Callithrix jacchus: one gene and its partners. The protein of the gene in region 1 interacts with the protein of each later gene in a pairwise test. Links are inferred from orthologs where the notes say so. Each region holds a gene or a part of one and is shown on either strand. Other genes may lie near its edges.

Region 1 (5,900 bases):
CCATAGTATTCCATGATTCCTTGCTTTATGGTATTACCCCTTTTAACCGCACTGTAAAAGTTTGGTTAAAACTCTAGTTTTTTCTTATTCCCCACAGGTATGAACGGGTAGATGAAATTATTTGGGTGAAGACAAATCAACTGCAACGCATCATTCGGACAGGCCGTACAGGTCACTGGTTGAACCATGGGAAGGAACACTGCTTGGTGAGCAGCAGTGGGGCCCGATTCAATAGATGGAGCATAAACAATCATTTGATTTCTTATTGAGAAAAAGTTCAAAAGGTGTGGTTTCATAAGGTAATCTGTTATCTGTGGTAGCAGGTTGGTGTCAAAGGAAATCCCCAAGGCTTCAACCAGGGTCTGGATTGTGATGTGATCGTAGCTGAGGTATGTGCTTCCCCAGGCCTCCAAAGCTTCCACATTGTTGTTGGTATCAGTTATTCATGTCAGGTGTATTCTCATCCAGATTTTTTCCATTTAGATCATAAACGTAATTGAAAGGGCTAGGATTGCAATCTTATGTAACTTAAAAAGCAGCTAGTTTTTATCTCCTAGGTTCGTTCCACCAGTCATAAACCAGATGAAATCTATGGCATGATTGAAAGACTATCTCCTGGCACTCGCAAGATTGAGTTATTTGGACGACCACATAATGTGCAACCCAACTGGTAATGTGACCAGAGACCAGACTAGTCTTCAAGGGGCTATTTATGATTAAATTCAGAAATGTGACCAGAGAACAAACTAGTCTTCAAGGGGCTATTTATGATTAAATACAGAACTTAGTAGAACTTCACATTATATTCCATGAGTCTATAAATGAGCATCAGAGGATTCATAAGCCACTTAAGCTTGTATTTAAATTGTTTTATGAGATTTTACAAATATTCATTAAAACTCAACAGGTTCTAGGATCCAAAGCACGGCTCCCTAGGGTTTCTACTCTGATAACCTAAGGATCTTCCTCAGCCATTCTATGTGATGTATTGAATCTGCCCCCTGGTGGTTATGAAGTTATCTATGTAATCAATTATTTTATCTTTCACCCCGTTAATAGAGCTTAAAACACATGCTGCTAGCATTTTGCTTATCCAAAGAATACTCCCTGGTGCAGCAACTCTGTCCTGACTAAGCATTAGTTACTAACCATCCAATAATACAGATCCAGTCTTTTTTTTTTTTGAGAGATGGAGTCTTGCTTTGTTGGCCCAGGCTGGAGTGCAGTGATGAGATCTTGGCTAACTGCAACCTCTTCCTCTGGGTTCAAGTGATTCTCCTGCCTCAGCCACCTGAGTAGCTGGGATTATAGGTGTGCACTACTGTGCCCAGCTAATGTTTTGTATTTTTAGTAGAGACGGGGTTTCACCATGTTGGCCAGGCTGGTCTTGAACTCCTGACTTCAAGTGATAGGCCCACCTCAGCATCCCAGAGTGCTGGGATTATAGGCATGAGCCACCATGCCCAGCTCAGATCCAGTCTATTTTAACACCAGAATCGATGTCAATTCTGAACTACTCATTCTACCATATACTATTGTAATGTTAAGCTCTTTATAGAAGAATTGGTATATTTGATATGATAGGCAGTCTTCATTTGGTATGCATCTTTTAACAATATTAACTAATTCCAGGATTTCTGGTTTGCCCCTCCTTTTCCCATTTCAGGATCACCCTTGGAAACCAACTGGATGGGATCCACCTACTAGACCCAGATGTGGTTGCACGGTTCAAGCAAAGGTACCCAGATGGTATCATCTCTAAACCTAAGAATTTATAGAAGCACTTCCTTATACAGCTAAGAATCCATAGTGATGGCTGTGTAAACCAAACCTCAAGAGTGGTATTTGTACAATAGCTTTCTTCTTTATTTAAATAAACATTTGTATTGTAGATGAGATTTTGAAGTCCATTCTGGCTCTGCCACTCATCAGTGTGTACTCTTGTGCAACTCATCTCTCAGTAGTATTTCTTATATTTAAAATGGGAGTATTACCTCACTGGGTTGCTGTGAGTGTTCAAACAAAACAAGTGCATGGGAAACATTAAAATGATCATAGGCTAGGCGCAGTGGCTCACACGTGTAATCCCAGCACTTTGGGAAGCTGAAGTGGAGGGTCCCTGGAGCCCAGGAGTTCTAAGACCAGCCTGGGCAACATAGTGAGACCCCATCTCTACTCCCAGCCTCTAAAACCATTAAAAACACAGGAATGCACAGGATCAAACTAATTAGTAATAAATATATACATGGTTCGTTGAGGAGGAGGTTCTCTAGGACAGCATTTCTCAAAAGTAAAAATTTGAGTTCCATTTAAGGTTATCACTTACTCTCTCACAAGTAGGTGGCTTCTCTAGTCTGTTTTTCTTTAGATTGTTTCCAATAAATAATGGTAGATCTATGGTTTCTTAAAGATATTTCTTAAGGATGTAGAGTTCTACCTCTTAGATTCATAAACTGTGATAACTCAGGTAAGGATGGTAACTACAGAAATAACATTTGTAAAGAGTAGTAAGAACCTCCTGGGTGATATCATTTTCCATGTAGCCCAATATGCCTGTATTAAAGTTTTGTTCTCAAAGCAGTGTACTGATGTGATAATGGGGAATAACAATTTTTTTTAAGAGGAAACCTTTACTGTAATTTCTTACCCCTTTTAAAATGGATGAACACAGTGGCGTTTTCTCCTAGGCTCAAAGCTGAGTACTCTCCCATCATTTTAATAATATTTTAGGCAAGTCCTATGACAATTATACCAACAAGTTTCTTCAACCCCACCACCACCCCTTACCATCTCTATGTTTTGCTTGCCCATACTCCCTTCACCCATTCCTCTGCTATTACCACTAGTATTTTTGCTTCTAGTTGAAAGCAAAAAGCATCTCCAGATTACAGCAAATTCAGTGGCCCTGCTCCATAGCGTGGCCTCTGCTGAAGGGAGAAAAGTGGAGAAACATGAACAGCCATCATGGGTTGCGATCAGGCACTACTAGAAGCCCAGCTTGTGTTTCAAAAACAGGCTCTTGGACATGTTCCCAGCAGGTAACTCTTCACTGGCTTGGAGAACAGGAAGGACTATTTCACAAACACCACTGTGTTTGAATTCCTAGAGGCTACCCAGGCCAAGAATACATCCCTAAGAGAGAAAAAGACATACACAAACAGAATTATACACAAACAGAATTATAGCCTAGATATATTCTTTTTATCTGTCTTAAACAATTAGGTTCCCAAATAATTTTCTGCAGCATCATAGTGACATAGTGTCACATCAGAAATATAAGAATTGTCAGTAGAGGGAATGCTGATTTACTGTAGAGTTTTTGAAATAGGAAATAGAAATGCCTTGTCCTATAGCTATAGGTAATTCCCAGGAGAATCTGGGGAGAGGGGTAAAATCTTATGAACTTCTCCAATTTCCCTCACAAATAGCAAATTACTGTGTGCTACTATTCCACTTACCATTTCCCCAAATTCTAATTCCCTAAATAGTCTGATTTGCACTAAGGATTCAAAAGCTAGTATTTGTATACACTAACAGATTAATGTATTATCATATTTTGTTTTGTAAAACGGGGTCACCATGTTGGTCAGGCTGGTCTTGAACTCCCAACCTCAGGTGATCCACTTGCCTTGGCCTCCAAAGTGCTTGGATTACAGACGTGAGCCACCACAGCTGGCCTATTATAATGTTTTTTTTTTTTTGAGACGGAGTTTCGCTGTTGTTACCCAGACTGGAGTGCAATGGCACGATCTCAGCTCACAGCAACCTCCGCCTTCTGGGTTCCAGCAATTCTCCTGCCTCAGCCTTCCGAGTAGCTGGGACTACAGGCACGCACCACCATGCCCAGCTAATTTTTGTATTTTTAGCAGAGACAGGGTTTCACCTCGTTGACCAGGATGGTCTCGATCTCTTTACCTCGTGATCCACCCGCCTCGGCCTCCCATAGTGCTGGGATTATAGGCGTGAGCCACCGTGCCCGGCCTATCCTGTTTTTAAAGGGCATACATAGGTATGTGGTAACTGAAAAATGTGAACTGCTGATCATGTCACCTTTGCCTATGTGGCAAATGTAAGGTCTTAAGCAGGGGAGCTTTTCTAGTAGACCAGATAAACAGCAACCTACTCTATTTTATGCTCAAGATTACCATGTTTCCCAATAAAATTAATTTAGCAGTTCTGAATTACAAGAAGGGGAAGGGTAAGCTCACCTGCAGTGCTTCACCACACACTCATTGCTGCAGTATTCATTGTCCCAGTCCTTACTCACAATTGGAGGGTTCTCACAACCAGACCTCACACATCGAGGCTGTGGTGAGAGTGCCACAGGAGACCCACTCACCAATTCAACATCCATCTGAGAAGGAGACTCAACCTACGAGAGGAAGAGAGCATCAAGGTGGATTAGATTGCTCCCTGCCTAGCTAGCTAGTTAAATTATCTGTAGAAACCAATGAAACAACAGGTATTACAAGTCCTCACAGTGGGGGTAAAACTGCAGAAGGTGAGTTTTTGGTCTCCCCCTCAATAGTCCCACTTCAGAACTTTGCCAAGCTGAATGACATGAAGATTCTTCCCATCAGGAGAAAGCTGGGCATATGCTAATGCTTTTTTCTCCCCTTAAGCCTGGCTAATCAAGTGAAGTAGCGGGAGTGGAAAGGTAGTGGTCTTTTAATTTTAATCTAACCTGTCAATGGCTTTATGCCACACATTAATATTCCTGACAGTATCAAATCAAAATTAGAGTGTGAGTAGAGGCTAAGTCACCTCAAGTAAGTTAGATGAAGGCTATGAGAAGTCAAAATGTGGTGCTGTTAGAAACAGGAAAAAGAGGGAGATTCATAAAGTTTCCTGCTGAAAGGTTTTTTTTGTGTGTGTGTTTTTTACTCTGTCACCAGGCTGGAGTGCAGTATTATCTTGGCTCACTGCAACCTCTACCTCCCCAGGTTCAAGTGATTCTCCTGCCTCAGCCTCCCAAGTAGCTGGGACTACAGGTGCATGCCACCACACCCAGCTAATTTTCACATTTTTAGTAGAGTTGGGGTTTCACCATGTTGGCCAGGGTGGTCTCGATCTCTTGACCTCATGGTTTGCCCACCTCTGCCTCCCAAAGTGCTGGGATTACAGATGTGAGCCACCATGCCTGGCCATATTTATGTTTCTCTTAAAAACCAATGGTATGAACCAGTTAAAATTTTTTTGCTATATCCCCTGCCCCACACATTTAAAACATCAAGCTAAGAAGGAACTTAAGATCTAGGAGAAATGAAAAGCTTCGTATTTTTAAAGTTTAGGATCCTTGGGTAAACAACTCTGAAAAGTAACTTGTTTAGGCTATATCCTGTCTAGTTGAACTAGTTTCCTCTGCTTAGTTAAGGAGTGGTCTGGGACAGAAGACTGTCTTAATGTGTCTCACTGAAAACACTATGGGTACCGTGGTAGAGACAAGTCACTGTTGTAAGGAACTCCCATCTGCAGGATGTTTTGTGCTGCTGGTTGCTGGGCATTAAATGCTAGTAGCAACCCCCATTTATCTATTTTTCTTTTCTTTCTCTTTCTTCTCCTCCTTCCCTTCCTCCCTTCCTTCCTCACACCAAGTTTTTGCTGAAGCAACCCCCATTTTGATTGGGTCAACCAAAAATGTTCTTACACATTTTTACTAGACTAGAAGACAGACTTAAAAATAGAGGCTCACCTCAGGAACTACATCTGTGATCATCTCACAGATAGTCTCAGGAGAAGTTGCCTCCACTGTATGGGCCTCAGGGCTGTTGTTCATAGGCCGCTCAGGACTACTTTCCACAGTTGGTGGGACTAAGGTAGTCTGCATTTTCAAAGTGGGTAGAGGTACACTCTTGATCTGCAGAGGAGGTGGCTGTTGCTGTAAATTGATTCGAACTTTC
Region 2 (6,212 bases), on another chromosome or scaffold:
TCATCCATAATTTTTTTTTGGCTAGTCACTACTAAAATTAATCATTAAAAAAAACTCTGCCCAAAGGAAGAAAAACAGCAGCAGCAGCGAAACATACCCCATTTGACGCTGAAGCCATGAGATGTAACTGGGCCTTTGACAAGTGGTCTGGTAGGAGGTCCAGGCCTGTCAGGACTTGTCGTACAAACGAGGACTTCGCTCGGACAGCTCTTGCCTTCCATGTTAGAAGCAGTCAGCTAGAACACAACAGAGGAAACATTAGCATGCGTTAGTTATCAGGGATTATTCAATTAATGGTCACTCTTTAACAAGGTGAGATGAAGGGATCCCTAAAATCAGACACACACACAATTTTTTCTCTTTAAACTCAAGTACTGACTTAACCGTATTTATTCTAGAAATCATTTACTGTATAGTTGGTTATCAACAATTAAAAACAAAACCATAAGGTGGGCTTTAGCTAAAGACACTTTTACCCTTTCAAAAAGACAGCATAAAACAAGTATGTCGTCGCCTGGTTTGTATGGTTTTGTGGAAGGAAATATGGTGGTGGGGGAATCCATAAAAATGGCTCCACTTTGGCCGGGCACGGTGGCTCATGCCTGTACCAATCCCAGCACTTTGGGCAGCCGAAGCAGGCAGATCACAAGGTCAAGAGATCAAGACCATCCTGGCCAGCATGGCAGAACCACGTCTCTACTAAAAATACAAAACTTAGGTAGGCGTGGCTGCACGTGCCTGTAATCCCAGCTACTTGGGAGGCTGAAGCAGGAAAATAGCTTGAATCAGGGAGTTGGAGGCTGCAGTAAGCCGAGCTCACACCTCTGCACTCCAGCCTGGTGACAGAGCGAGACTCCATCTCAAAAAAGAAAAAAAAAAAATGCTCCACTTTTTAAAGAGTAGGGTAATGCCACCTTGTGGAGAAACGTTAGCAGTATAGCTATGTTCTCATAGTCAGCTTCGAGAATAAGGGTTAAAAAAATATGTTAAAAATTATCATTTCCACTGGCCGGGCACGGTGGCTCACACCTGTCATCCAAGCACTTTGGGAGGCCGAGGCGGGTGGATCACAAGGTCAGGAGATTGAGACCATCCTGGTCAACATGGTGAAACCCCGTCTCTACTAAAAATACAAAAATTAGCTGGGCATGGTGGCGCGTGCCTGTAGTCCCAGCAACTCAGGAGGCTGAGGCAGGAGAATTGCTTGAACCGAGGAGGCGGAGGTTGCAGTGAGCCGAGATTGTGCCACTGCACTCCAGTCTGGCGCCTGGTGAGACTCTGCCTCAAAAAAAAAAAAAAAAATAATTATCATTTCCTTCAAATAGTCACATACTGCACTGGATAATTTGGCAACTATTTATTGGGTGATTGCTATGTGCCAAATAACACCATTTGGTCCCCCAATTAGAGAAGAACATGTGGAATCAGAAAACAATCGTATCTTCCAAGATGCACACTTGCCATATTAGGAAATATGGAGCTGCAGCACATTGTTTTGGTGTCTTTGTGATCATAAAGTCATATTCACTTACTTGGCCACACACAGACCTACAGGAACATTAATGGTGGCTGTTAATGACCAAAGACCACCCAGGTGGGAAGGGGGTGGGTAATGAAGAGAAGATTAAAAACAAATGAGGAAAAATAAATGGCAGAAGAGCAAAGGAAAATGAAGAGCAAAGAGAAGTCTGATTAGAAGGAGAAAGGCGTGGAGTGCAGGCGAGTGATGGGTGCACTCCAGAACCTGGTGTACACCTCCCAGGTGAGGGCACCTGGCCATGCTGTACATGCAATTTATGACAGCACATTAGGATGACTTTTATGCTCAAAAGTTGGTTTTAAGACTAAAGCACGTGTGCACTTTATAAATGTTACTTTCAAAATGTAAAGTGCATTTTTTAACCTGTAGCGTCAATCTGACATGGTAAATGGTGAAATATAAAACAGTTTCATTTTTCAGCGGTACAGGTAGCGAAACGACTGACTCACCCTGAATTTATACTGTGTGCTTCTTTTGAGATTTTTCACAGTACAGGTTAAATCCTCTCCAGTGTATTTTGGGTGGAAAAGGTTATCCTGAAAAGGCAAAGCCAGGAAGAAACATCAGTCTCAAAAATTCTGGGCATTAAATACCTTCCTTTGAATGTGGGATTTTTATCCTGTCGTCATCAGCAACAGGCCAAAGGAATGTCAGCTACTGCAAAAGAGAAAAATCAGAAGCCCAGACTACTGTGGATAGCACTTGAGCTTTAAATAAAAATTCATCTCCATCACACCGTAATTTCTCCTGGGTCCGGTCAAATTTATTGTGACAAAGGAGTCAAGCACTTTTTGAAAACACATTTAACCTTTTTAATGTTGTCATGAAAAAAGCCCTTTGTACTGAGGTCTTTACTATCAAGCTGCCATGTGCTACGCAGTAATGTGTGGCTGAGCTTCCTGACCACACAGTGCCCTCTTCTGGCCAAGAGAGAAAGGACAGCTTAGATGGGAAAGGGCATAATCCTTTAGGAGGGCAAGCATCCCACTCAAAGTTGAATCCAGGAAACTCATTCAATAGTTCTATCTCTATTATTCGATCGTTCACTCATCAAAATACTACTCAGCCCCTTCTCTGCGCTGGGCTGACCTCCAGGCTCTAAGGATTCAGCACTGCCCAAGAACTTTTAGAAAGGCCTTGCCCCACAAGCAGCTTGCATTGCAGTAAGAAAAGACAATACAGAAAAGCCCCTACGTATGTCACGTGGCGTTAAGTGCTATGACAAAAACTAAAACTAGGTAAGAAGGTATGGTGGTGGAACTAGTGACGGCTTTCTACAGCTGCTGGAGGTAAATATGGTAGCCACATGTGGCTCTTTGAATGTAAATTTATTACAATTAAAAACAGTACTGTGGTCCAACAAGCCCTATGTCAGAGGCTTGAGAGTCACAGGTATACAGGTGCCACCATACTATATGGCACAAATTCTAAAATATTTCCATCACTGCAGAAAGTTCTATTGGACGGTGCTGTTCTACAGGGTGATCAGAAAAGGACCATCCAAAGAGATGACATTTGAGAGTGGACCTTTAGGAAATGAGGGAAGGCAGGCAAAGATATCTGGAAGGGCATTCCGGCCAGAAGGCAGGAACTGCAAAGGCCGTGAGGCCACAGCAGACGTGGTGTGTTTCAAGAACAGACTAGAGGCTGATGAGACTACAGGGAAGGAAGGAGGACGGTAACGGAGAACACAGTCACACAGGACCTTGTGGCCATTGTGAGACCCAGGCTGTGTGTGGAGAACAGACTGTAGCCTAGTAAGGATGAAGTCGGGAACATTAAGTGGCGATAATCCAATAATCACGTTGTATTATTGCAACAATCCAGGGGCGAGATGAAGGTGGCTCATAAGAGAGTAGCAGCTGTGGAGATGATAAAAAATGGTTCGTTTCTAAATAATTTCCAAGGAAGATTCGAAAGGATGTTTCTGTCTGATTATATATGGGGTCAAGGATGACTCCAAGGATTTTTGCTTCCCCAGCTGAAAGGATGGAAATGTCATTTACAGAGATGGGAGAGAACAGGCTGCTGTTGGTCGTGGTGGTGACAGGCATCGAAATTAAGAGTTTGGTTTTGAACTTCTGCAGCGAATCTACTTTCACAGTGCCCTGCAGCTATAACAATGTTGATTTCTACAAAACACCGAGAAGCATAAAATCTGCAAAACTCACATTTTCATCCTCCTGAATTTCCAAGGTGTAAGTGATCACCTCCTCGGGTGAACAGCCCTCTGGTTTACTCCACTGCAATGTGACCCATGTGATGCCAGCTCGAACCAGCCTTGGCGCAGAAGGCATCTGAGGGATGTTTCCTAATGTGTAGCACACCACCTCTTGGCTGTAACCACTGCAGAGAAACAAAGTGAGGCACACAGCTAGAAGCATGTGAAGAGGCTTGGCGTTTTTAAAAGAGGAAGGCTCAGCAGGCACACTATCCAACTTAGTCTAGCAAAGCCAGGCAAGGATCCTTTGTGTGATATTCCCTGCAATCACCCTCAGCTTCCCTATCCCCCCACCAGCGATCTTCTAGACACACACATCAAGTCACAGGACAATACACAGTTGGCTCTCTGTATCCCTGGGTTCCACATCTTGAGTCCACGTGAATGAAGTGATGTGTAGGCATTATATTGGATATTACAAGCAAGTTAGAGAAGATTTAAGGAGGGAAGGATGTGTGCAGGTTATAAAATACTAGGCCTTTTTTTTTTTTGAGACAGAGTCTCACTCTTTCGCCAGGCTGGAGTGCAGTGGTGCGATCTCGGCTCACGGCAACCTCCACCTCCCGGGTTCAAGCAATTCACCTGCCTCAGCCTCCCGAGTAGCTGGGACTACAGGCGTGCACCACCATGCCCAGCTAATTTTTGTATTTTTAGTAGAGACATGGTTTCACCATGCTGGCCAGGATGGTCTTGATCTCTTGACCTCGTGATCCACCCACCTCAGCCTCCCAAAGTGCTGGGATTACAGGAGTAAGCCACTGCACTCAGCCTAGTATGCCACTTTATATCAGGGACTTGGGCATCCATAGATTTTGGTATCCATGGCAGGGAAGTGAGGGAAGTCCTGAAACCAATCCCCTGTGGAAACTGAAAGACAATTGTACTTAAGAATTCATTTCCCCGCTCCCAGCAGTTTGGGAGGCTGAGGTGGGCAGATCATGAGGTCAGGAGATGGAGACCATCCTGGCTAACACAGTGAAACCAGTCTCTACTAAAAATACAAAAGGAGCTGGGCATGGTGGCATGCGCCTGTAGTCCCAGCTACTCTGGAGGCTGAGGCAGGAGAATTGCTTGAACCCAGGAGGTGAAGGCTGCAGTTAGCCGAGATCGCGCCACTGCACTCCAGCCTGGGTGACGGTGTGTGATTCTGTCTCAAAAAAGAAAAAGAAAAAGTCCCCCCACCTTCTCCCAAAAACACTGGACAGAAGTCATAGCATAATGCAATGTTTATCAATTTATGGGTCAAGGAAGCTTCAAATCAATGTGAGCAACAAATATTGGTGGATGACATAAATGTTTTACCAATATATACAAGTGCTGTTTTTCCAAAGTTTGCGGATGCTTCCAATTCTTTTAAAAAATCTTGAGCCACAGAAGGCTTTATCAGTATGACTTTTTCAACCAGTGAACTCTACAATTATAATGGCTACCATGGTGGCGGAGGCAGGTCTGTAAAACTTTGTGATGTTAAAAAGCCTCTTTAGGTTGGAAAGAAGGTTGGAGACCACCGACGTGCAAAACCTTTAAGAAGATTTCAACAAGCAGTGATGAAAGAAAAAGATTTTTCCCTTAATCAAGAGTCACCCTGCAAGTGCAATTGAAACGTGGCCTTTCCAAAGCCTCTTTGGTCAATTGATACCTTACAGTACACGAGTTCCTGCCTTTCTCATACAGCCTAGAGGCCTGCAGAGGCCTCCAAGACAGTCCAGGTTTTCTCCAATTCTGTATCCGCCCTGGGCTTAACAACAATGGCTGGCCCAGCAGCAATTTCTTTGTACCCGGAAACTCTCACATAATTGAAAAAGGGCAACTGAATGAAGGGCTTGCTAAAGTGATAAAGAGAAAAAGGCATGTGATCTAAAAAAAGTAAAGCCCCAAGAGGAATTCCTTTCAATTCCTTACTGCTACCTTTACCTTGATTCTTAGAGGCCTGGTGGGGTCTTCACAATACAGCTTGCAAGACTGCAGAGGCCATAGTGACATTCACCAGCTTAGAGGGGGCCTTCACCCCTCAGATTAGGGTTCCCTCCTAGAAAACCTCAAGTTGATTTAGTGTGGAGGCGGTGGGGTTCCTCATGCCTTCCAATGACGTACAAGAAGGCTCAAGGTCACCATCCAAAGGCTGAAGGGCAGGAGGGCAAGGAAATGTCATACCTGGTGCCAATGTCGTTTCGAGCAGCCAGCCTGAACGTGTACCCCATTGCCGGACAAAGCTTTGTCAACTTGCAGTGTTTCTGGCTCCCAAAGAAGCACTGTCTGAAACCACTGTTCCTTTTTCCCTAAAAGCAAACAGTGAAACCATGTACATACTTTTTTAAAAACCAGATAACCCTAAACAAGCGAAGGAGCATCTTGAACATCTTGAATAATTGTTTAATGAGCAATAGTTTGAATGAATAAAAACAACACAACCTTATAGGGAAGTGTCCGTGTTGCCAATAAAGTATTCTA
Region 3 (6,212 bases), on another chromosome or scaffold:
GCAGCGTAGACAGGGCCGACTCTTCGACTCAGTGGAGTCTTTGTCCTGGAAGTGCTGTGAGTGGCAGACCAGACCCCTGGCGTTCTCCCGGCGTCTCGTTCTTCCTGAAGCTTCAGGAAGTGGTTTCCTGGGCTGTTTTGGTAGTTATCAGATACTCGGCCTCAGCTGCTGCCCAGGGCTTTGAGGACGGGAGGTGGCTGGCTGGTGTGGGCCACACCAGTTGTGTCCCTACAGCAGCGCTTTATTGGGAGACGTGTGTTGTGAAGAAGCTCTTCTATTCTAGGCCTTTGTGCTACAATTAGGAATTCTGCCTTGGGTCTGTAGAGAGGCAGCAGTCCTGGGATGTGGTGAAGGCCTTGGCTGAAATACTGTGTAGCACAGTAACCTGTGGCCATGGAAATGGGGCTGTGGGAATATTGCTCATGACCTGAATTACGCCCTTGAATATGCATAGTGAGGCAGCAGAGAGTGGACCTGAGAACTAGACTTAGGGTCGGTTACCATTTTCTATTACAAAGATATGTGGAAGTTGACTAAAAATCTATGTGTGATGATTCTTACAGTGTCTGTCTCTAGATAGTAGGATAATTTTTGTTTTTCTCTTTCATTATCGTTTTTCATTTATTTCCAATAAGCCCGCATTAGTTTTATAGTTTTAAAAAATGCCATTTAAAAGCCAGAGAGGACAGGCATGGTGGTTTACGCCTGTAATCCCAGCACTTTGGGAGGCCGAGGCAGGCAGATCACCTTGGGTTAGTGGTTCGAGACCAGCCTGGACAACATGGTGAAACCCTGTCTCTACTAAAAATAGAAAAATTAGCTATTCAGGAGGCTGAGGCAGAAGAATCTCTTGAATCCAGGAGGTGGAGGTTGCAGTGAGCTGAGATTGCGCCATGTACTGCAGCCTGGGGGGACCCCCCCCCCAAAAATAGGGGAGATTTCTGCCTTTGGTCAGGCATAGTAGCCGGAACCAGATTGAATCCTCTTGCCATCGAAATCTGGACAAAAATGTATGAATCAGCTGTCCTAAGACGTTAGACAGGCAGCAGCGCAGGACTGTGGTCTTTGAGGGAAGGAACATGAGAGGAGGGGTGCCACTGGAGCAGCAGGGGGTGCCAGGCAGAGCACAGCACAGTCACTGCCTTCAGGAGATGGATTGGAGAGGAGCAAGGCTGAGGCAGCTGCAAGTTGTGGAATCAAGTTCTTAAAAGCAGAGAGACAGAAAAGAGCTCCAGCGTCTGTCCAGGGGCCTCCTTGGGCCTTTGGGGACTTCCAAAGCAGGCATGAGCTGAAGGGTCCCTAAGCTCACACCAGGCTGGGTGGTGGCTGGATTCCCAGCAGCCAGAGTGGAGAATCCGCAGTGATCAGTCACTGCAGTAGCCAGCCCTGCCTGCTGGTGGGGCTCAGCTGTCTCTAGAGTACAGGCGGGGCTTAAAACAGCCTGAGAGGGAGCACACTGAACCACAGCAGCAGCGCTTTCCAAGACAGACAGCAAACCTAGACACCCAGCAAAATAAAGTTACAGTGTCCAGTATCCAGTCACGAGTACCAAGAAGCAGGAGATGTGACCTGGGATCAGAAAAGCCAGTCAGTGGAAGGAGACCCTGCCTGGAAGTAACTGACAGGGCATCGAAGTCCATTAAATTACATACAAGGATCTGAAGGAGAAAGGAACACAGCAGGGAGAGGAAAGGAGACATAACACCACCTGGAGCTCCTGCACTCGAAAGGCGAGGAGAGCGGCTGCCAGGCCTGCCCTCCGTGTGTCTCAGGTACGTGCGTGTGGCAAGGTTAGCGGCCTGTTCCATCCCACGGGGAACCAGAGCCCAGGTTAAATGACTTCCCAGGACCTTAGTGAGCAAGAAGCTGCTGTTGTGTAACCTGACAGGTGGGCCGGCCTGCGTTATTAGGACACTGAAAGATCTCGAAGGGGTAAACTTAACCCGGTGCAATTCCACTGCTGCAAATGGAGCTCAGAGCATTTGTGCGGGAGCAGCCTGCGAGGCTGCGTGGTGTGCAGGAGCCTCCTTGGAGCCCGTGCGGTTGGAAGGTGCACACCGGGGCACACCCATTCTTAGTTTGTATGCCCTGTGGCCCCAGGGGAGCTGTGTGGGGACGGACTATCACTGTGGCAGTGGGCTGGAAGCCATTGTCTTTGGGAAATGGTTAGAAATGGAGATTTCACAAGGTTTGATAATGGTTTGTTAGAAGCCTGGAGAAGTGATGCGTCAGTGAAGAATGAGGTTGGGTTTGCAGGTCCTAGGAGGGTCAGTGAAGGAACAGCAGGTTCGGGGAGGTGGGCTTCAGCCCAGCTGGGATTTTGTCATCTTCCTGGGGTCCACAAGGCTTGCTCAAGCACTTGTGCTGGTGAGTGCTCTGTAGCTGCTCAGGGGGACAGCAAAGCGCCGTGGCCTGGGGGAGGGTGCTTTGGGACATGGCTCATCTCTGCAGGTGCTCAGGTGGGGTCAGGGTCTTCATTCAACATGCAGGTGGTCCACCTTCTAATAACATGGCCCATCTCTGCAGGTGCTCAGGTGGGGTCAGGGTCTTCATTCAACATGCAGGTGGTCCACCTTCTAATAACATGGCTCATCTCTGCAGGTGCTCAGGTGGGGTCAGGGTCTTCATTCAACATGCAGGTGGTCCACCTTCTAATAACATGGCCCATCTCTGCAGGTGCTCAGGTGGGGTCAGGGTCTTCATTCAACATGCAGGTGGTCCACCTTCTAATAACATGGCTCATCTCTGCAGGTGCTCAGGTGGGGTCAGGGTCTTCATTCAACATGCAGGTGGTCCACCTTCTAATAACATGGCCCATCTCTGCAGGTGCTCAGGTGGGGTCAGGGTCTTCATTCAACATGCAGGTGGTCCACCTTCTAATAACATGGCCCATCTCTGCAGGTGCTCAGGTGGGGTCAGGGTCTTCAGTTGGAGCTGAGTTCCCCACGTTCAGCATGCAGGTGGACCACATTTGAATTACATGAAAGTAGGATTCTGATTCAGGGTAGCTGGGCAATTTCTAGCATGTTGCGATTATTGACATTTTATTATGTGGCCTGGCACGGTGGCTCAGCTGTCATCCCAGCACTTTGGGAGGCTGAGGCAAGCAGATCATTTGAGGACATGAGTTTGAAACCAGCCTGGCCAACATGGTGAAACCCTGTCTTTACGAAAAATACAAAATAAATTAGCCAGGTGTGGTGGTGGGTGCCTGTAGCCCCAGCTACTTGGGAGGCTGAGGCAGGAGAATCGTTGGAACCGGGAGGCGGAGGCTGCAGTGAGCTGAGACCGCACCACTTGCACTCCAGCCTAGGCAACGGAGCGAAACTCTCCAGAGGAAAAAACATTTTATTATGTTACTTTAAAAATTGTATTCAGTGCAACGTGTGTACTATGGCAATTTAATACCTACCATTAGCTATGGGTGAACAACTCATGGAAACCTTTTTTTTTTTTTTTGGAGATAGTCTTACTCTGTTGCCCGGAACTGAGTGCAGTGCTGTGATCTCGGCTCACTATAACTTCCTATTCCTGGGCTCAAGCGATTCTCCTGCCTCAGCCTCCCAAGTAGCTGGGGCTACAGGCATTTGCCAGCATGTCTGTGTAATTTTTGTATTTTTAGTAAAGATGGGGTTTCACCATGTTGGTCAGACTGGTCTCAAATGCCTGACCTCAAGTAATTCACCCACCCCAGCCTTTCAGAGTGCTGGGATTACAGGTGAGCCACCACATGTGGCCCACGTTCTTTAATCATCAGAAATTTTATGGTTTTTGTTTTTCTCCATGCATTCATATCAGCGTTCGACTTCTCTCGCAGAATTTCATCTTACTGCTTTTTTTTGTTTGAGACGGAATCTTGCTCTGTTGCCGAGGCTGGAGTGCAGTGCTGCCATCCCAGCTCACTGCAGCCTCTGCCTCCCGGGTTCAAGTGCTTGTCCCGCCTCAGCCTCCTGAGTAGCTGGGATCACAGGCGCACGCGACCGCACCCGTCTAATTTTTGTACTTTTAGTAGAGATGGGGTTTCACCATGTTGGCCAGGCTGGTCTCAAGCTCCTGACCTCTGGTGATCTGTCCGCCTTGGCCTTTCAAAGTGCTGGGATTACAGGCGTGAGCCACTGTGCCCAGCCCTTATTACGTGTCTATGCATTAACTTTTTTTGTTAGTTGTCATAATTCTCTGCAAGAAAATTATGTGTATGCGTTGAAAATTAAAAGCTTTTCTGTGCTCTTAATATTCTAAGTGTTTAAGAAAATTATGATTGCGGTATCATTATAACGAAAATATGCAGTACATCAAAGCACATTCTTGTTTTGATTAAACACAGCACATACATTTGTTGGAAATGTAGCTTTAAGTGCGTGGCTGAGGTTTTTTCCCTATTAGTTGAATTACCCATGGACAGATACTGCCGGCCTGAAACAGCTTTTGATGTCCACTTGCAGAACTTCATTCATTTGAATAAGTTGGGACTAGAAGGGGTTTTGTCATGGCAGCGTCACTCCACTCAGCCCATCTGCGTTCCATGTGGGAAGCCTCAGCTCCTAAGACGCTCTCTTAGTGACCTCTGCAGAAGAGTGGAGGCGGTGCGAGTGAAGGAGGAATGAAGCATTTCCTCTTCTCTGCTGTGGGAGTAGAGTGAGGGATGGACAGGGGTGCGGGGGCCCATGTGCTGCCGGAAGCGATGCCTAAGAAACTTCTCGTTCACCTCATTCGCACCTGTCGCCCCACAGAGCCGATGATGAGTACCCCACCGCCCACCAGCGAGCTCCCGCAGCCACAGCCGCAGCCGCAGGCGCTGCATTACGCCCTGGCCAACGCGCAGCAGGTGCAGATCCACCAGATAGGAGAAGACGGACAGGTGCAAGTAGTACGTACCCTCCCCACCATGCACCTCGGGCAGGGCGGGCGGTGGGGCGGGCCACCGCTGCGTTTTGGGAGCACAGTGATAGCTTGGGAGGAGGCATAGGGACCCCATTTAAAGGAGAGGCGATCGTGGCTGTGAGCTCTTGCATTTTGCAGATGTGGGCAGCTGCCGCAGTACCTAGGGGTTGAGGCACATGGTGGGGTGCAGGCATTCGCTCAGCTCACCTTGGTCCTGGGCGATGAGCTGCGAGGGCCAGGCTGTGCTCCTGGGAAGCAGCGTAACAACACTCAGTTCAGAGGCGCAGGCGTCTTCTTACTGAGGGAAAGAAGGTAACTTCCTTCTAGGATCAGTGGCAAAAGCTTGAGGCCATTGTTCCCATGCAGCCTTTCCCTCGGGGTTTCTCAGCACACCCAGGCTGGGCAGACACACCCCAGCAGCACGTCAGTGCCCTGCCTTGCCTATGTGGAGTTCTCTCTCAGGGTTTTGTGGCCCAAGCTGCAGCCAGCCTGATGAACTAGGGACTGACTCCCGGGTGAGGTCCCTCTACAAACACCTTCTGAATTTTGTGGCACAAGAGTAGGGGGGTGGCAGAGAAGGAAGACTTTTTCAGAAGCTTTGCTGGGTGACTAGAAATTGTACCTGTGTCACTAGACACTGCTGATGTTTTTAGTTGCGCCAGCCCCTTCGGGACCTCTGAGGTCAGTGGTCATCGTGTGCCCCCTGGGAACAGGGTCCTCTAGTACTGAGAGCGGGGTGCAGCTCTCGTCTCCTGTGGCTTCAGCACATTGTCTGCAAGGGGGAAGGCTTCCAGAAAATGCTGGCGCGTTTAGGTGGGGCATTATCCTTTCTCTTCCACAGGAGATGGGACAGTCATGAATAGTGAATTTCCCAGGCTAATTCAACTCATATGACACTCACAAAGGCAGCTACTCTCATCTTGTTAGTATGGGGCTCTTTGAAAGGGTTCCAGAATACGTAACAGTACCCCCTATGCCATAATGCTTACATAGAACATTCTACAGGAGTTTATTTTAAGGTCCATTTTGACTAAGAGTAATTTCAGATAAGATAAGGAGTATTCATTTCATTTATAGGTTTATAGGAATTGTCTGCCTTATGTATAAACATTGGATTCTTGAATTTTTTTGTTTTTTTGGAATCACATTTGTGTTGACTCAAGCTGTTTAAATAGTCATATGAGTGTTTCTTTGATTTAAAAAACATTGCCTGTTGTGTTCTGAGTGTGGGCGCACAAACGGCTCTCCCGCTCCCGGCCACGCTCGGCCTGTGTAGCCTCGCAGCACCCCCAGAGAGCTGAGCGTATCATTTGGAAAGAGGGGTTATTCTC
Region 4 (6,212 bases), on another chromosome or scaffold:
TCAGCCTGTTGGCCAGGATGGTCTCGATCTGCTGACCTCCTGACTCGTCTGCCTTAGCCTCTTAAAGTGCTGGGATTACAAGCGTGAACCACCGCCCCTGGCCAGTTTTTTTAAAATCAGATCTTTGGGGAAATCTTTCTTGGGCCTTTCCAAAGATTGTAAACCTACAGCGACATCTCACAATTACAAAAGAACTTGGGGCTAACAGCTCTCGGCAATGCAGGACCCCGGCTTGGTGCAAACCCTACATCCAGTCATTCACAAGCAGTTCTGGAAAAATAATTTGGTCCTTTCCTCACTTGGCCTTTTAAACAATGTTCAAAAAAGCCAGGCATGGGGACTTATGTCTATAATCTCGGGGATTTGGGCATCTGCAACCCTGTCTCTACTAAAAAGGCAGAAGGATTGCTTGAGCCCAGTAGTTTGAGACCAGCCTGGGCAACACAGCAAGACCCCATATCTACTAAAATGTTTTTTTCTTTTTTTAAATTAGCTGGGCATGGTGGTATGCACATGTGGTCCCAGCTACTAAGAAGGCTGGGGTGGGAGGATCGCTGGAGCCTAGGAGGTCAAGGCTGCAGTGAGCTATGATTGTGCCACTGCATTTCAGCCCAGGGGACAGAAAAACGTTGTCTCAAATTGTTTTTTAAAATGCCCAAAGCAATTCAAACCATTACCTAGTTTATCTTTTTTGCTTGTTTTATTTTATCTGAACGTCCAAAATAGCAGCTATTTCATGACTATTTTCAACTTGAGTTGGAAGGAGGCTCTGTCCCATTTGAGTGTTCTCAAATCCTAGATGGAAACACTGGTAGAGAGTGGCCTCCACCACCAGGGGGAGCTCTCAGCTGCAGGCTGAACCTGCTGGACGCCCAGCAACTTGGGCAGTGAAAGAAATGGGCTGTGGAATAAATTCATGGGGTCGAGCTAGGAACCTGGAAAAGGGTAGACGGAAGGAGCCTGTGTAAATTAAGAGAATTAACCACTCTTCCAGTTTCTCCCATGACTCATCTTGGCTACAGCTGACTTTACCCCAAGCCCAGCAGGTGACCTGGGACAGCCCTGACTTCTCAGATTGTATTAACCATGCTTTTATTTTCTGATGCTTTGATATTTTAGTGTCTTGTGGACCCCAGAGGTATAGTCCCTTCTAGGGTTAGCTAATTCCTAGAGATTTCAAAGAACTCACCGGGGAGCCTGACTTTCATATGCAAATCAACCAGCCAACCAGTGCAGCGCCCACGCCCCAAGTGCCCCCTCTATTGGCCCATTACACTCAGGGCTGCTTTCTACCTGTCTCTTTCTTTTACATGGAGTCTCTGTCGCCCAGGCTGGAGTGCAGTGGCCCGATCTCAGCTCACTGAAATCTCTGCCTCCCGCGTTCAAGCAATTCTCCGGCCTCAGCCTCTCAAGTAGCTGGGCCTACAGGCGCATGCCACCACGCCTGGCTAATTTTTGTATTTTTAGTAGAGATGGGATTTTAGCATGGTGACCAGGCTAGTCTCAAACTCCTTACCTGTGGTGATCCACCCCCTTCGCCCTGCTAAAGTGCTGGGATTACAGGTGTGAGCCACCGTGCCCGGCCTTTCCACCTGTACTGGTCACCCCAGCACCAACCACCAGACAACTAGGGACAACCCCTAGGCCCAGGGCACACTGGATTCGTCCACTCTAGCCAATCCTAACCCTGCTTACCCTGCACCCCACAAAACCACAATACAGGCTGCTGCTTGCCACGTTTCCCCTCACTTCCTCTACCTCCTGACCCACGTGGTGCTTCCCCAGGTGGCCCCCACTTTATGGTGTTGAGTGCCCCTTCCTCTTGGGATCAGAGTATAACAAACTATCCCTTCAAAGAGTTGTCTCCTGATCTGTCGGCCTTATCATACCTAAATAATAGTAAGACATTATATATATGTTGGAGACAGGGTCTTGCTATGTTGCCCAGGCTTAAGTGCAGTAATAGTCACAGGTTCAGCCACAGCTCACTCCTGGGCTCAAGTGATCCTCCTGCCTCAGCCTCTGGAGTAGCTGGGACCAAAGGCATACACCACTGTACCCCACTAATAAGACGTATTTTCCAACATGGATGCTGCCATGGGATGTGATTCTTTTGGCAGCTAACACCCTCACTCCAAAGGCATCTTCTGTCTTTTCCTGGTAAGAAAAAGTACGGAATGACCACTAGGACCTGAAGTCCGGCAGCTTTTCCTAATCAGGGTCCCACATCCCAACAACAGAATTCAAAAAATAACCAGAGTGGTGAGTTTCTGAATTGTCTCAAGGACTCCTTCACTAGCATTTCTCTCCAGGCGTGGAGGTTCATTCATTACACACAGCAGAGTCCCCGGGCAAGTGGGGCTTACTTTTTCTAGAGAACAGAGTGGGGAAAGGCGGTGTCTGAGGTCTAGGTGTAACTGAGGACCCTCAATCCTGCCTCACAGAAATAACTCATCTTGCCGGGAGAGGAGGACGGCATCATGGTGTGGTTTCCCATCCCTGCGCCACCGGGGCCAACGTTACCTGGGCTCGGTGCTCCCCAACGGCGAACTGTATCACGGCCATGCCCGGACTATGGCTGTCTTCGATCCTCTCCACCGTGCTGGAGTCGATCTTCAGGTCGTTACTTATCTCTGCACTCTGGATGAAATCTTCCGTTTTTAAGTCTTCCACCTTCTTCAGCTCCCCGTTGGCCAACTGGATAATGGAGCCTTTCATGAAGTAGGGAGGCAGCGTGGGGGGAGCCGCTGCGGGGGAGGCCACAGACTGCACCACGGGCAGGTGGATCTGGGCCTGCACCATGGCCGGGTAGGCGGCCTGGGTGACCAGGGCCTCCGGGTTGAAGTTCTCGCTCTTGGGAAGGGCGGTGGTGACAAACGTGTGAGGCACTGCAGCAAACTGGGGGGACGACGTGACGATGGCTGGAGCTGCCCCCGACGCTTCCATGTCAGTGCTGCCGACCGGGATGAGCAGGGGTTGTGTGCCGGGGATCACCAGGTGCTGGGGCAGGCTGCCGGCGTAGGTGATCGCTTGCTGCTGGCCGCTCAGGTAGCCGATGACAGGGGGTTGAGTCCCCGCGTAGAAGGCTGTGGCTGGCAGTCCCACCGGGAGTGGCTCTGAAGCACTGTGTGTGGTCTGAATGACCGTGTGGGGTGAGAGCGCATAGGACCGGTGGCCCGGCTTCCCTAAGTGCAGGCCGCTTTTGTCGTTGAGGGTGGAGGGGGAGGCCTCGCGATGAGTGGCCTGCTGCACCTCCAGGTCGGCCGCGGGCGTGCTGCTGTTGGGCAGGACCATGACAGAGGCCCGGACCCCCGAGGGGTCACGACTGCTGTAGTCGGAGGGGCTCGGGTGGACCACCACGTGCCTGGACTCGTACGGGTGAGGGACCGACTTGCCACCCACCTTGCCCAGGCCCAGGTCGGCTGAGGACGGGGCCCCGTACCGCCGGCCCTTCTCCATCTCACCATTCAGGACCTCCTTGGCCTGGATGGCCTGCTGCAGCCGGCTGCTCTCGGCTTTCTTGGTGGCCTCCCGAGGGACAAAGTGGCTGCCGGAGTCGGCGTATTGCATGACGACCTGGGAGGGGGGGCCCAGGGTGAGTGTGTGTGGGATCATCGTCTGATGGGGGTGGAGGTGGACGGGGATGGCTGGAGGAGAGGCGGTGCGGCCGGTGCTCTGCGGAGAACTGGAAATGTGGACGTACTGGCTCTGCTGGGCGGGTGGGGGGGACCCCGGGGTGATGAGCCCCGGAGCCCTGCTGAGGTGCTGCTGCGGCGGTGGCGGCTGCTGCGGCTGCTGCTCAGCCTTGTGTCCCGGCGCCTGGCTCAGACTGCCCATGTTGGCCAACAGAGTGGAATAGGCCTCCAGCTGGGAGCGCTGGGATGGAGTGGTGGCCCCTGCAGCCGAGGCCACCGCACTGGTGACGGGGTTGGCGGTTGGGGGGATCAGCTGTGACGGGATGAAGCTGGCGTAGGTCCCGCTGTACTGGGAGGACCCAATGAACTGGAAGGTGTGTGGCAGGTGAGCATACTGCACGGGAGACACCGGGGTCCCTGGCTGTGGGGTGGCGTACGCGGCGGGCAGCGTGGTGGCCACGGGGACAGACCTGGGCGCGCTGGGTGGGGAGTAGTCCAGCCCTGTGGACAATGCTTTGTGTAAACCTATTCCCTGTTGTAAACCAAGCTCCGCTGAGGTCCCTGCCGGCCCGTGCCTCCCGCCCCCGTGGCCCCGGCCACCAGGGTTGCCCGGCAGCCATGCTGCGCCCTCCACCCGGTGGTTGTCGCTGGGCAGGGCGGGGGCCTTCTCCTCGCTGGACCGGCTGGTGGCGGGGATCTCGCGCTTCTTGGGAGGCAGGCATTCGTTGCTCCGCTCTTGGTTGGATTTCATTTTTCGCCGTCCCCCCTCCACGGTGACTGTTTCACTGTCTGGCTGAGTCTGGTTTTAGTCTGATAAACGGAAAGTCACATTTGATTTCTGTAGGGGATCCAGGCTCTTCATGAGGAATCATCTCCCCGTGGGTACGATCGGCCAGCCGCAGCTCTGGATGCTGGGAAAGGGAAGAGGGCAGTGACAAGGGGAAAAGGAAAGAGAGGAGAAAGGGAAGGAGGGAAAGGACATCAGAACATCAGCACTGGGGAAAGAACATCCTTGGCAAGATTAAGACTAGGCCCTGGACTCAGTGCGATCTCCCCAAACCCGAGGGCAGCCTGAGCACTGAAGCAGGTAAAACTCTAGCCATGGTGGCTGCACGCCCGAAGGAAGGCTATGGAGACACTAGCCAAGCGAACACTCTAACACCTATACTGTTTTTTTTCCTTTTTTGAGACAAAGTTTTGCTCTTGCTGCCTAGGCTGGAGTGCAGTGGCACGATCTCGGCTCACTGTAACCTCCGGCTCACTGCAACCTCCGCTTCCTGGGTGCAGGTGATTCTCCTGCCTCAGCCTCCCGAGTAGCTGGGATTACAGGCATGTGCCACCATGCCCAGCTAATTTTGTACTTTTAGTAGAGACAGGGTTTCTCCATGTTGGTCAGGCTGGTCTTGAACTCCCAACCTCAGGTGAGCCACCCACCTCAGCCTCCGAAAGTGCTAGGAGTACAGGCATGAACTACTGTGCCCAGCCCACATATACTTCTTAATGGAGTTAACAACTCCTCTAAAATGTTCTCAATACTCTCTCTCTCTCTCTCGCTCTTTTTTTTTTTGCCTTTTCTTCTTAGAGGGTAGATGATGCAGTTCTTAAATTTCCTTTTCAGAAATGCTGGTTCCATTCCTCACCTCTCCTTTACCTGGCTGGATAATAAAATGAAGCCCTTAGTGAGCAGGACACCAGCTGAGCCCTGCCCTCAGAGCCAGGTGTTCAGAAAAAGCAGGTCAGCAGAGAATGTACAGAGCAGTCCTTGCACTTTATTCTGAATCTTCACCTGCCAGAGCCACTACTCTCTGAGATTCCCCTTAGCTCTGGGTCCATAATGGACCTACGATTCCCTCTCCCTTAATACACACACACACACACACACACACACACACACACACACACGCCAACTCAGCAGGGGCTGCCAAAAATAATCCTGTTCTCTGCAAGTTTCAAAAGAATTCCCAGTACGGCCACTCACATAACAGAGTGAGACAGTTAAAAACCAAATTTGATTATGGTTAAAAAACCCAAATACCATATAAAAATAGGGCTCCTGCATTAAAAGTTTTCTTTTTTTTTCCTTTTTGAGATGGAGTCTCTCTCTGTCACCAGGCTGGAGTGCAGTGGCGTGATCTCTGCTCACCGCAACCTCCGCCTCCCGGGTTCAAGGGATTCCCCTGCCTCAGCCTCCTGAGTGCTGGGACTACAGGCGTGGGCCACCATGCCGGGCTAGTTTTTGTATTTTTACTAGAGACAGGGCTTCACCATGTTCACCAGGATGGTCTCAGACTCCTGACCTCATGATCTACTCACCTTGGCCTCCCAAAGTGCTGGGAATGCAGGAGTGAGCCCGCAACCGGCCTGAAAGTTTTCTTAATGAGTTACACGCTTGGTGTGTCTGTCTCTTTCTGCCTCTCCAAGTTGTCTCTGAAGTTTCCCTTGACACTGTCCCCTCCCTTTCTCCTTGGAAAGGAACAACTCGCCATGAACACTAGAGACGACACCCCTTTCGGACAAATCAGATTGGTGTGTTGAAACCCAGACAAACAGTGATTCTGGGGTCAGCAGTTCTTATGG
Region 5 (6,838 bases), on another chromosome or scaffold:
GGTCAGTGTGTAGCCTGAGTCGAGATCTTCATCTAGGGCAGGAGCTCAAGCCCTAGCACGGGAAATCCTCAGCCTTACTGCAGGCAGCATATTTTTTCTGAAGGAAGTTCATATAAAAGCTGCAGATTCTGGTGTTGGAGTCAGGGGAGGAGAGGAGGGTGGGGACACGAAGCTCCTGGCAACATTTCAGGGAGAAAAGTTAGTCACCCCTGCTTCTGTAAATAGGCTTTGAAGGGTAGGAATCATGGCTGTCCCTAACCTGCCGTGTGACAGATCACCTAACCCATCTGTCCTGTTTCCCCAAATGTAAAATGAGAAAGAAAACCTTCCAGCTCTAAGATTCTGCCCTCTGGGTTCTTTTTTCCTTTATTATTATTACTATTTTTTTGAGACTGTTGCCCAGGCTGGAGTGCAGTGGCGTGATCTCTGCTCACCCCAACCTCCGCTTCCAGGGTTCAAGCGATTCTCCTGCCTTAGCCTCCCAAGTAGCTGGGATTACAGGCGCATGTCACCATGTCCAGCTAATATTTGTATTTTTAGTAGAGAGGGGTTTCACCATATTGGCCAGGCTGGTCTGAAACTTTTGACCTCTTGATCCTCTCACTTTGGCCTCCCAAAGTGCTGGGATTATAGGCATGAACCACCACACCTAGACCTTTTTTCATTTTTTAGAGACAGATCTTGCCTTGTTTCCCAGGCTGGAGTGCAGTGGTGCAATCATGGCTCACTGTAATCTTGACCTCCCAGACTCAAGTGACCCTCCTGCCTCAGTCTCTAGAGGAGCTGGGACTATCAGTGTGCACCACAGTGCCTAATTTTTTAATTTTTTGAGGCCGGGTGCAGTGGCTCACGCCTGTAATCCCAGCACTTTGGGAGGCCGAGGAGGGTGGATTACGAGGTCAAGAGATCGAGATTATCCTGGTCAACATGGTGAAATCCCATCTCTACTAAAAATACAAAAAATTAGCTGGGCACGGTGGCGCGTACCTGTAATCCCAGCTACTCAGGAGGCTGAGGCAGGAGAATTGCCTGAACCCAGGAGGCGGAGGTTGCGTTGAGCCGAGATCGTGCCATTGCACTCCAGCCTGGGTAACAAGAAGGAAACTCCGTCTCAAAAAAAAAAAAAAATTTAGAGATGGGGTCTCACTATGTTGCCCAGGCCGGTCTTGAACTCCTGGGCTAAGAGATCCTCCCACCTTGGCCTCCCAAATGTGTTGGGATTAGAGGTATGAGCCACCGCCTCCAGCCTGCCCTTTGGGTTCTAATTCCACCACCCTGGATGTTTCTCTGACAGCCCTGGGGAGCCTGCCGCTATGTCCTGTTGCTGGTGCTGGGCTCACCCCTGGCCAGTGGGTAGCTCCAGGCCTCTCCTGTTCCCTCCCTTGCACAGGCGCATGTTCCCTGCCTGCCGAGTGTCAGTCACCGGCCTGGACCCGGAGGCCCGCTACTTGTTTCTTCTGGATGTGGTTCCAGTGGACGGGGCTCGCTACCGCTGGCAGGGCCGGCGCTGGGAGCCCAGCGGCAAGGCAGAGCCCCGCCTGCCTGACCGAGTCTATATTCACCCCGACTCTCCTGCCACGGGTGCCCATTGGATGCGGCAGCCTGTGTCCTTCCATCGTGTCAAGCTCACCAACAGCACGCTGGATCCCCACGGCCACGTGAGGCCCAGGCTGGGACTCCAGGATAGGGGATGGGGGTGCTAGAAGAGAGGTCAAGGCTGAGGCACAGGGCAGGGAATCATTCCCATTTCTTCCCTCCCAGCTGATCCTGCACTCCATGCACAAGTACCAGCCCCGCATACATCTGGTTCGAGCAGCCCAGCTCTGCAGCCAGCACTGGGGGGGTATGGCCTCCTTCCGCTTCCCCGAGACCACATTCATCTCTGTGACAGCCTACCAGAACCCACGGGTGAGTGCCCCTGCTTGAGGGGGTGGTGGCGCCCTGCCCAGGCCACAGGAGCTTTGACCCTGGACGTGTGCTCCCAGATCACACAACTGAAGATTGCAGCCAATCCCTTTGCCAAAGGCTTCCGGGAGAACGGCAGAAACTGTAAGAGGTGGGCATTATTCATTCGCTCGTTCATGCATTCAACAAATGTTTATTAATCGCTCATGGTGTGCCAGGCTCTGTGCTGGACACAGTGGAATGCAGTGGTAAGTAAAAACATTCATTCTCTGACTCAGCAAATACTTATTTAGTACCTGCTTTGTGCCAGGGACACTTCCAGGAACTGGAAAGAAATCAAAGCAAACCAAAGCCCCTGCCCTCATGGAACTGACATTCTAGTGGAGAGAGCAGACAAGAGAAATAAATCAAATGTGGTCTGTTAGGAAGCTAAAGAGAAGAGAAACCAGGCGTGGTGGCTCATGCCTGTAATTCCAGCACTCTGGGAGGCCGAGGCGGGTGGATCGGCTGAGGTCAGGAGTTCGAGATCAGCCTGGCCAACATGGTGAAACCCTGTTTCTACTAATAATACAAAAATTAGCCAGGTGTGGTGATGCATGCCTGTAATCCCAGCTATTCAGGAGGCTAATGCAGGAGAATTGCTTGAACTCAGGACATGGAGGTTGTAGTGAGTCAGGTGCCATTGCACTCCAGCCTGGGCAACAAGAGTGAAATTCTGTCTCAAAAAAAAAGAAGAGAAATCAATCAGGGAAGCATAGGAAGGACTGGGGTGAGGTATTAGAGGCCTGGAAAGGCCTCAGTGGTAAGAGGACACAAGAAAAAGAGCTGAAGGAAGTACAGGAGGGAGCCAGGTGGGTATATGGCAGAGCATACTAGGGAGTGGGAACAGCATGTGCAAAGGCCCTGAGGTGGGACTGTGCCTGCAGCGTGGCATGAGTGGGGAGTGGGTGAGGAGTCAGGTAGGGGATGGAAAGCCAGGTTATGTTGAATAGTAAAGGTTCAGTAAGGCCATGGGAACTGTTCTAAGTACAGCCCCTCAGAGTTGGCCCCTGCCCTCAAGGAGCTTAAGAGACAGACATGAACCAAGGAGTCACTCCATCAAATGCAAAAGTGGAACAGTGACAGATGTTACGAGGGTGGGGTATGTGCTCTCAGAGGTCAGGGAGGACTTCCTTGAGGAACCTGTGCTTGCACTGAGACAAGGATGGGTTTGGTGGTTCATGGCTGTAGTCCCAGTGCTTTGGGAGGCTGAGATGGATCACTGGAGCTCAGGAGTTGGAAGCTGCAATGAGCTGTGACCGTGCCACTGCACTCCAGCCTGGGCAACAGAGTAAAACCCCATCTCAAATTTTAAAAATGACAAGAAAGCCAGGCATGGTGGCTCATGCCTGTAATCCCAGCACTTTGGGAGGCCGAGGCAGGTGGATCACCTGAGGTCAGGAGTTTGAGATGCCTAACATGATGAAACTCCTAAAAATAAAAATAAAAATAAAAAAAATTAGCCGGGCATGGTGGCTTGTGCCTGTAATCCCAGGCTACTTGGGAGGCTGAGACAGGAAAATTGCTTGAACCCAGGAGGTGGAGGTTACATTCCAATTTGGGCAACAGAGGGAGACTCCGTCTCAAAAAATAAAAAAGAAAAAAGATTTAACAGATGAAGAGCGGACAGAAGAGGGTTCCAAAGAGAGGCTGAGAGTGGAGATGGGGCAGAAAGATGAGCTGGGTGAGACCATGCCCTGGTCTTTTTGCTGGGAAGGAGTTTCCATTGATACTAAACACAATAGGAAAGCATGGAAGCTTCAGCAGGGACTAAATCCTAGCTCTGCCACTTTCTACTTATTTCATTTTCTGGCCTTCAGTTTCTTCATCTGTGAAATGGGTATAATGATGGCCCCTACCTGACAGGGTCCCTGGGAGGGTGAAATGCCTGGCACTGGTTAAGTACTTATTACTACGACCATGGCCATCATCATCATCATCATCACCACCACTGTTCCCCAGGGAGCGAGACGCCCGTGTGAAGAGGAAACTGCGGGGCCCAGAGCCAGCAGCCACAGAGGCCTGTGGGAGCGGAGGTGAGTGTAGTCCCGATGGCGATGGGGCCAGGCCCGAGACACCGATCCTCCGTAGCCCAACCTCTCCCTTCCCTTTCCCTAGACACCCCAGGTGGTCCCTGCGACTCCACCCTGGGTGGAGACATTCGTGAATCAGATCCAGAGCAGGCCCTAGCCCTGGGGGAAGCCACCACTGTCCCGGTGCCTCCGTGCGGTGGCCCCAGTGCCGAGGCCTACCTCCTGCACCCTGCAGCTTTCCACGGGGCTCCCAGTCACCTTCCCACCAGGTGAGTAGGACAGGGGACCAGATGGTGCTGCGGGTCCCTCTGCCCTGCTCTGACATCCCTCTCTCCATGTCAGGAGCTCCAGCTTCCCGGAGGCTCCAGACTCTGGGCGCTCAGCCCCCTACTCAGCTGCATTTCTGGAGCTGCCACCTGGGCCAGGGGCCTCTGGGTACCCAGCGGCTCCGCCAGCAACACCCTTTGCCCCCCACTTTCTCCAAGGGGGCCCCTTCCCTCTACCATACCCTGGGCCTGGGGGCTACCTGGATGTGGGCTCCAAACCCATGTACTGAGCCAATGCTGGGCCCTTCTGCCTCCATCATAAACCTCCTGCTCCCTTCCCCCAGCCCTGGAGCCCCCTCACCTCCACCGGCCCCATCCCCCACACCAAATGGCTGCCTTGGGCATGCCCCCCACCCCCCAACTTCACACCTTGATTTCACTCCCACCCCCCTCTGGCTTCAAAGCCCAACCAAGGCTGCTGGGAGTCCAGCTGGGGCCAGCTTCCCCTTCCCGCCTCTCACCTCTGTGTGAATGGAGGGGACTCTGCCTGGCCAAATGGGGCCACAGACCAGCATCCCCACCTCTCAGGCCTCTCCATGGACTCTGGGAGGCTCAGTCCCCACCACCCCCAACACCACTGGTGCAGGCCACACCAGTCTGTTCTGGGACCAGAGTATTTTTGTTAATAAAATTCAAGAGCCATCGTGCTAAGGAAACATTGGGCTCATGTGTTTGGCCCTGGGCGGGGCAGGGTGAACAAAGGCTTTGCTAGAAGACCCAGGCCCAGATCTAAACCTGTGTTTCCAGCTGCCTGACCTAGCACAGAATCCACTGGCTCTCTATGCCCATCTCCTCTTTGGAGAAATCAGAATCTCATGTTGTCAGTCATTAATAAGGCTGCCATGAGAAGTGAGCCTCTCCCTAGCGCTGGGGAGGCCAGCAGACAGCAGCCCCTGGAGGCCCTGGGTAAGCTGACTGGCCTGAGTCAGGCCCTCCTGCCAGGTCCGGGCCCTGAGGCAGTCAAGGCCCTGACGTCCTCCCGAGGTCCCAGGCCAGCAACCCTGCACATCCCCAACCAAGTCTGTCTGGCACAAACCCAAAGATCATTTTTCTTCTTTTATTAGAATTTTTTTTTTCATTTTTTTTTTCTCAAAATGTTTATCTAAAAACAAACAGAAAAAAGAAGGAAAAAAAGAAAAAAAATTATTGGAAACTTCATGGTTCAAGTGGGGAGAGAGGAGAGGAGGAACATGGAGCTAGGTCTCCAGGCCTCTCCAGAGAAGTCCTCACCCTCAAAGCACCCTCTTGGGGGAGAGCAGAGCTGGAGACAGCCCTCCGCCCACGCCCAGCCTCCATCTGGGGAAGAGGCAGAGTCACAGTGGTCCGAGGGCCAGAAGGGCTGGAGGGGGCAGGGGCCAGGGGCTCACAGGAAGTAGTCGGCCACCGGCTTCTTGGAGGGGATGCCCCGTGTCTCTTGGGGAGCAGCCTCAAAGATGATAAAATCTTTCTGGAGATGCTCGTCCAGCTCCAAGATGGCTGCCACATTCCCACAGCTGGAAGGCAGGACGGCAGGGTCAGGAGCAGCTGGGCTCAGATGTCCATCCCTCCCAGCCCGGCCCAGCCGGCTCACCGGTAGCAGTAGTTGGGTGCTGACCACACAGTGAGCACGGTCTCGTTGAAGTGCCACTTGTAACCTTCCATCACCAGTTGGTGGGCACGGCAGATCATGTCAATGTCATTGGCTGCGTTGAACTGGGCCACCACATCACTGCCAAACAGGTAGCCAGCCCCTCGGGGGCTCACACCCCAGCCTGTGGTGTCTGATGGGGCAAGGGAGGGATGGAGGTCCTCAGGGTTCTCTGGCTGCCAGTGCTGCCCCTTGAGGTGAGCAGCCGGGCCCCTCCCAAAGGCCACCAGAGGCCCAGGGGACCAGAGCATGGGGCCTGAATATGGTCTGGGGAATGGTAGGGGTCAGGACAGCAAAGGTAGGGGCAGATAAGCTCCAGAGAAGAAAGAACCAATGGCTGGGGCCCCCTCTGAATCACAGTGATCATACAATTCCCTGTCCGAACAGCACACGGGAGTGAAAGCGGTGGTCCCAGAGACGTTAAGGGCACTCTGTGCTGTCACAGAGCAGTCGGGAGTGGCTGTGGAGCAGCAGCTGCATGTGTCTGTGTGTCTGTGCTGCAGCAGAGGCTGCCTGTGCATGTGTGTGTACATGTGTGTGTGTGTGCTGGAGCAGAGGCTGCCTGTGCATGTGTGTGTACATGTGTGTGTGTGTGCTGGAGCAGAGGCTGCCTGTGCATGTGTGTGTACATGTGTGTGTGTGTGCTGGAGCAGAGGCTGCCTGTGCATGTGTGTGTACATGTGTGTGTGTGTGCTGGAGCAGAGGCTGCCTGTGCATGTGTGTGTACATGTGTGTGTGTGCTGGAGCAGAGGCTGCCTGTGCATGTGTGTACACATGTGTGTGTGTGTGCTGCAGCAGAGGCTGCCTGTGCATGTGTGTGTACATGTGTGTGTGTGTGCTGCAGCAGAGGCTGCCTGTGCATGTGTGTGTACATGTGTGTGTGTGTGCTGGAGCAGAGGCTGCCTGTG

Evidence for each region. The genes of interacting proteins can lie anywhere in the genome.
Region 2: the proteins of TOX4 (region 1) and FNDC3B interact in binary tests that used the Homo sapiens proteins (3 or more experiments, as listed by UniProt). The two-hybrid records come from large-scale screens. The link is inferred for Callithrix jacchus from reciprocal best matches to the Homo sapiens genes TOX4 and FNDC3B.
Region 3: the proteins of TOX4 (region 1) and BANP interact in binary tests that used the Homo sapiens proteins (3 or more experiments, as listed by UniProt). The two-hybrid records come from large-scale screens. The link is inferred for Callithrix jacchus from reciprocal best matches to the Homo sapiens genes TOX4 and BANP.
Region 4: the proteins of TOX4 (region 1) and ATXN1 interact in binary tests that used the Homo sapiens proteins (3 or more experiments, as listed by UniProt). The link is inferred for Callithrix jacchus from reciprocal best matches to the Homo sapiens genes TOX4 and ATXN1.
Region 5: the proteins of TOX4 (region 1) and TBX6 interact in binary tests that used the Homo sapiens proteins (3 or more experiments, as listed by UniProt). The link is inferred for Callithrix jacchus from reciprocal best matches to the Homo sapiens genes TOX4 and TBX6.

The regions. Positions count from the first base shown.
Region 1 is NC_133509.1:55,995,965-56,001,864, reverse strand, and holds the end of TOX4 (TOX high mobility group box family member 4), read right to left. Parts: coding exon 5,693-5,900; intron 4,373-5,692; coding exon 4,209-4,372; intron 3,133-4,208; coding exon 3,072-3,132; 3' UTR 1,845-3,071; downstream 1-1,844. Other genes in the region: N(6)-adenosine-methyltransferase catalytic subunit METTL3, read left to right, coding at 98-206, 321-389, 558-670, 1,667-1,778. UniProt on the Homo sapiens protein: Transcription factor that modulates cell fate reprogramming from the somatic state to the pluripotent and neuronal fate. In liver, controls the expression of hormone-regulated gluconeogenic genes such as G6PC1 and PCK1.
Region 2 is NC_133518.1:14,695,122-14,701,333, forward strand, and holds part of FNDC3B (fibronectin type III domain-containing protein 3B), read right to left. Parts: intron 6,041-6,212; coding exon 5,916-6,040; intron 3,887-5,915; coding exon 3,712-3,886; intron 2,077-3,711; coding exon 1,990-2,076; intron 237-1,989; coding exon 98-236; intron 1-97. UniProt on the Homo sapiens protein: May be a positive regulator of adipogenesis.
Region 3 is NC_133521.1:45,664,803-45,671,014, forward strand, and holds part of BANP (protein BANP), read left to right. Parts: intron 1-4,730; coding exon 4,731-4,867; intron 4,868-5,088; exon of another isoform or gene 5,089-5,179; intron 5,180-5,503; exon of another isoform or gene 5,504-5,821; intron 5,822-6,212. UniProt on the Homo sapiens protein: Controls V(D)J recombination during T-cell development by repressing T-cell receptor (TCR) beta enhancer function. Binds to scaffold/matrix attachment region beta (S/MARbeta), an ATC-rich DNA sequence located upstream of the TCR beta enhancer.
Region 4 is NC_133505.1:14,347,205-14,353,416, reverse strand, and holds part of ATXN1 (ataxin-1), read right to left. Parts: intron 4,547-6,212; 5' UTR 4,387-4,546; coding exon 2,524-4,386; intron 1-2,523. UniProt on the Homo sapiens protein: Chromatin-binding factor that repress Notch signaling in the absence of Notch intracellular domain by acting as a CBF1 corepressor. Binds to the HEY promoter and might assist, along with NCOR2, RBPJ-mediated repression. Binds RNA in vitro.
Region 5 is NC_133513.1:29,430,761-29,437,598, forward strand, and holds the end of TBX6 (T-box transcription factor TBX6), read left to right. Parts: intron 1-1,390; coding exon 1,391-1,658; intron 1,659-1,761; coding exon 1,762-1,908; intron 1,909-1,985; coding exon 1,986-2,056; intron 2,057-3,906; coding exon 3,907-3,980; intron 3,981-4,062; coding exon 4,063-4,246; intron 4,247-4,319; coding exon 4,320-4,533; 3' UTR 4,534-4,959; downstream 4,960-6,838. Other genes in the region: PPP4C (serine/threonine-protein phosphatase 4 catalytic subunit), read right to left, coding at 5,667-5,796, 5,874-6,063. UniProt on the Homo sapiens protein: T-box transcription factor that plays an essential role in the determination of the fate of axial stem cells: neural vs mesodermal. Acts in part by down-regulating, a specific enhancer (N1) of SOX2, to inhibit neural development.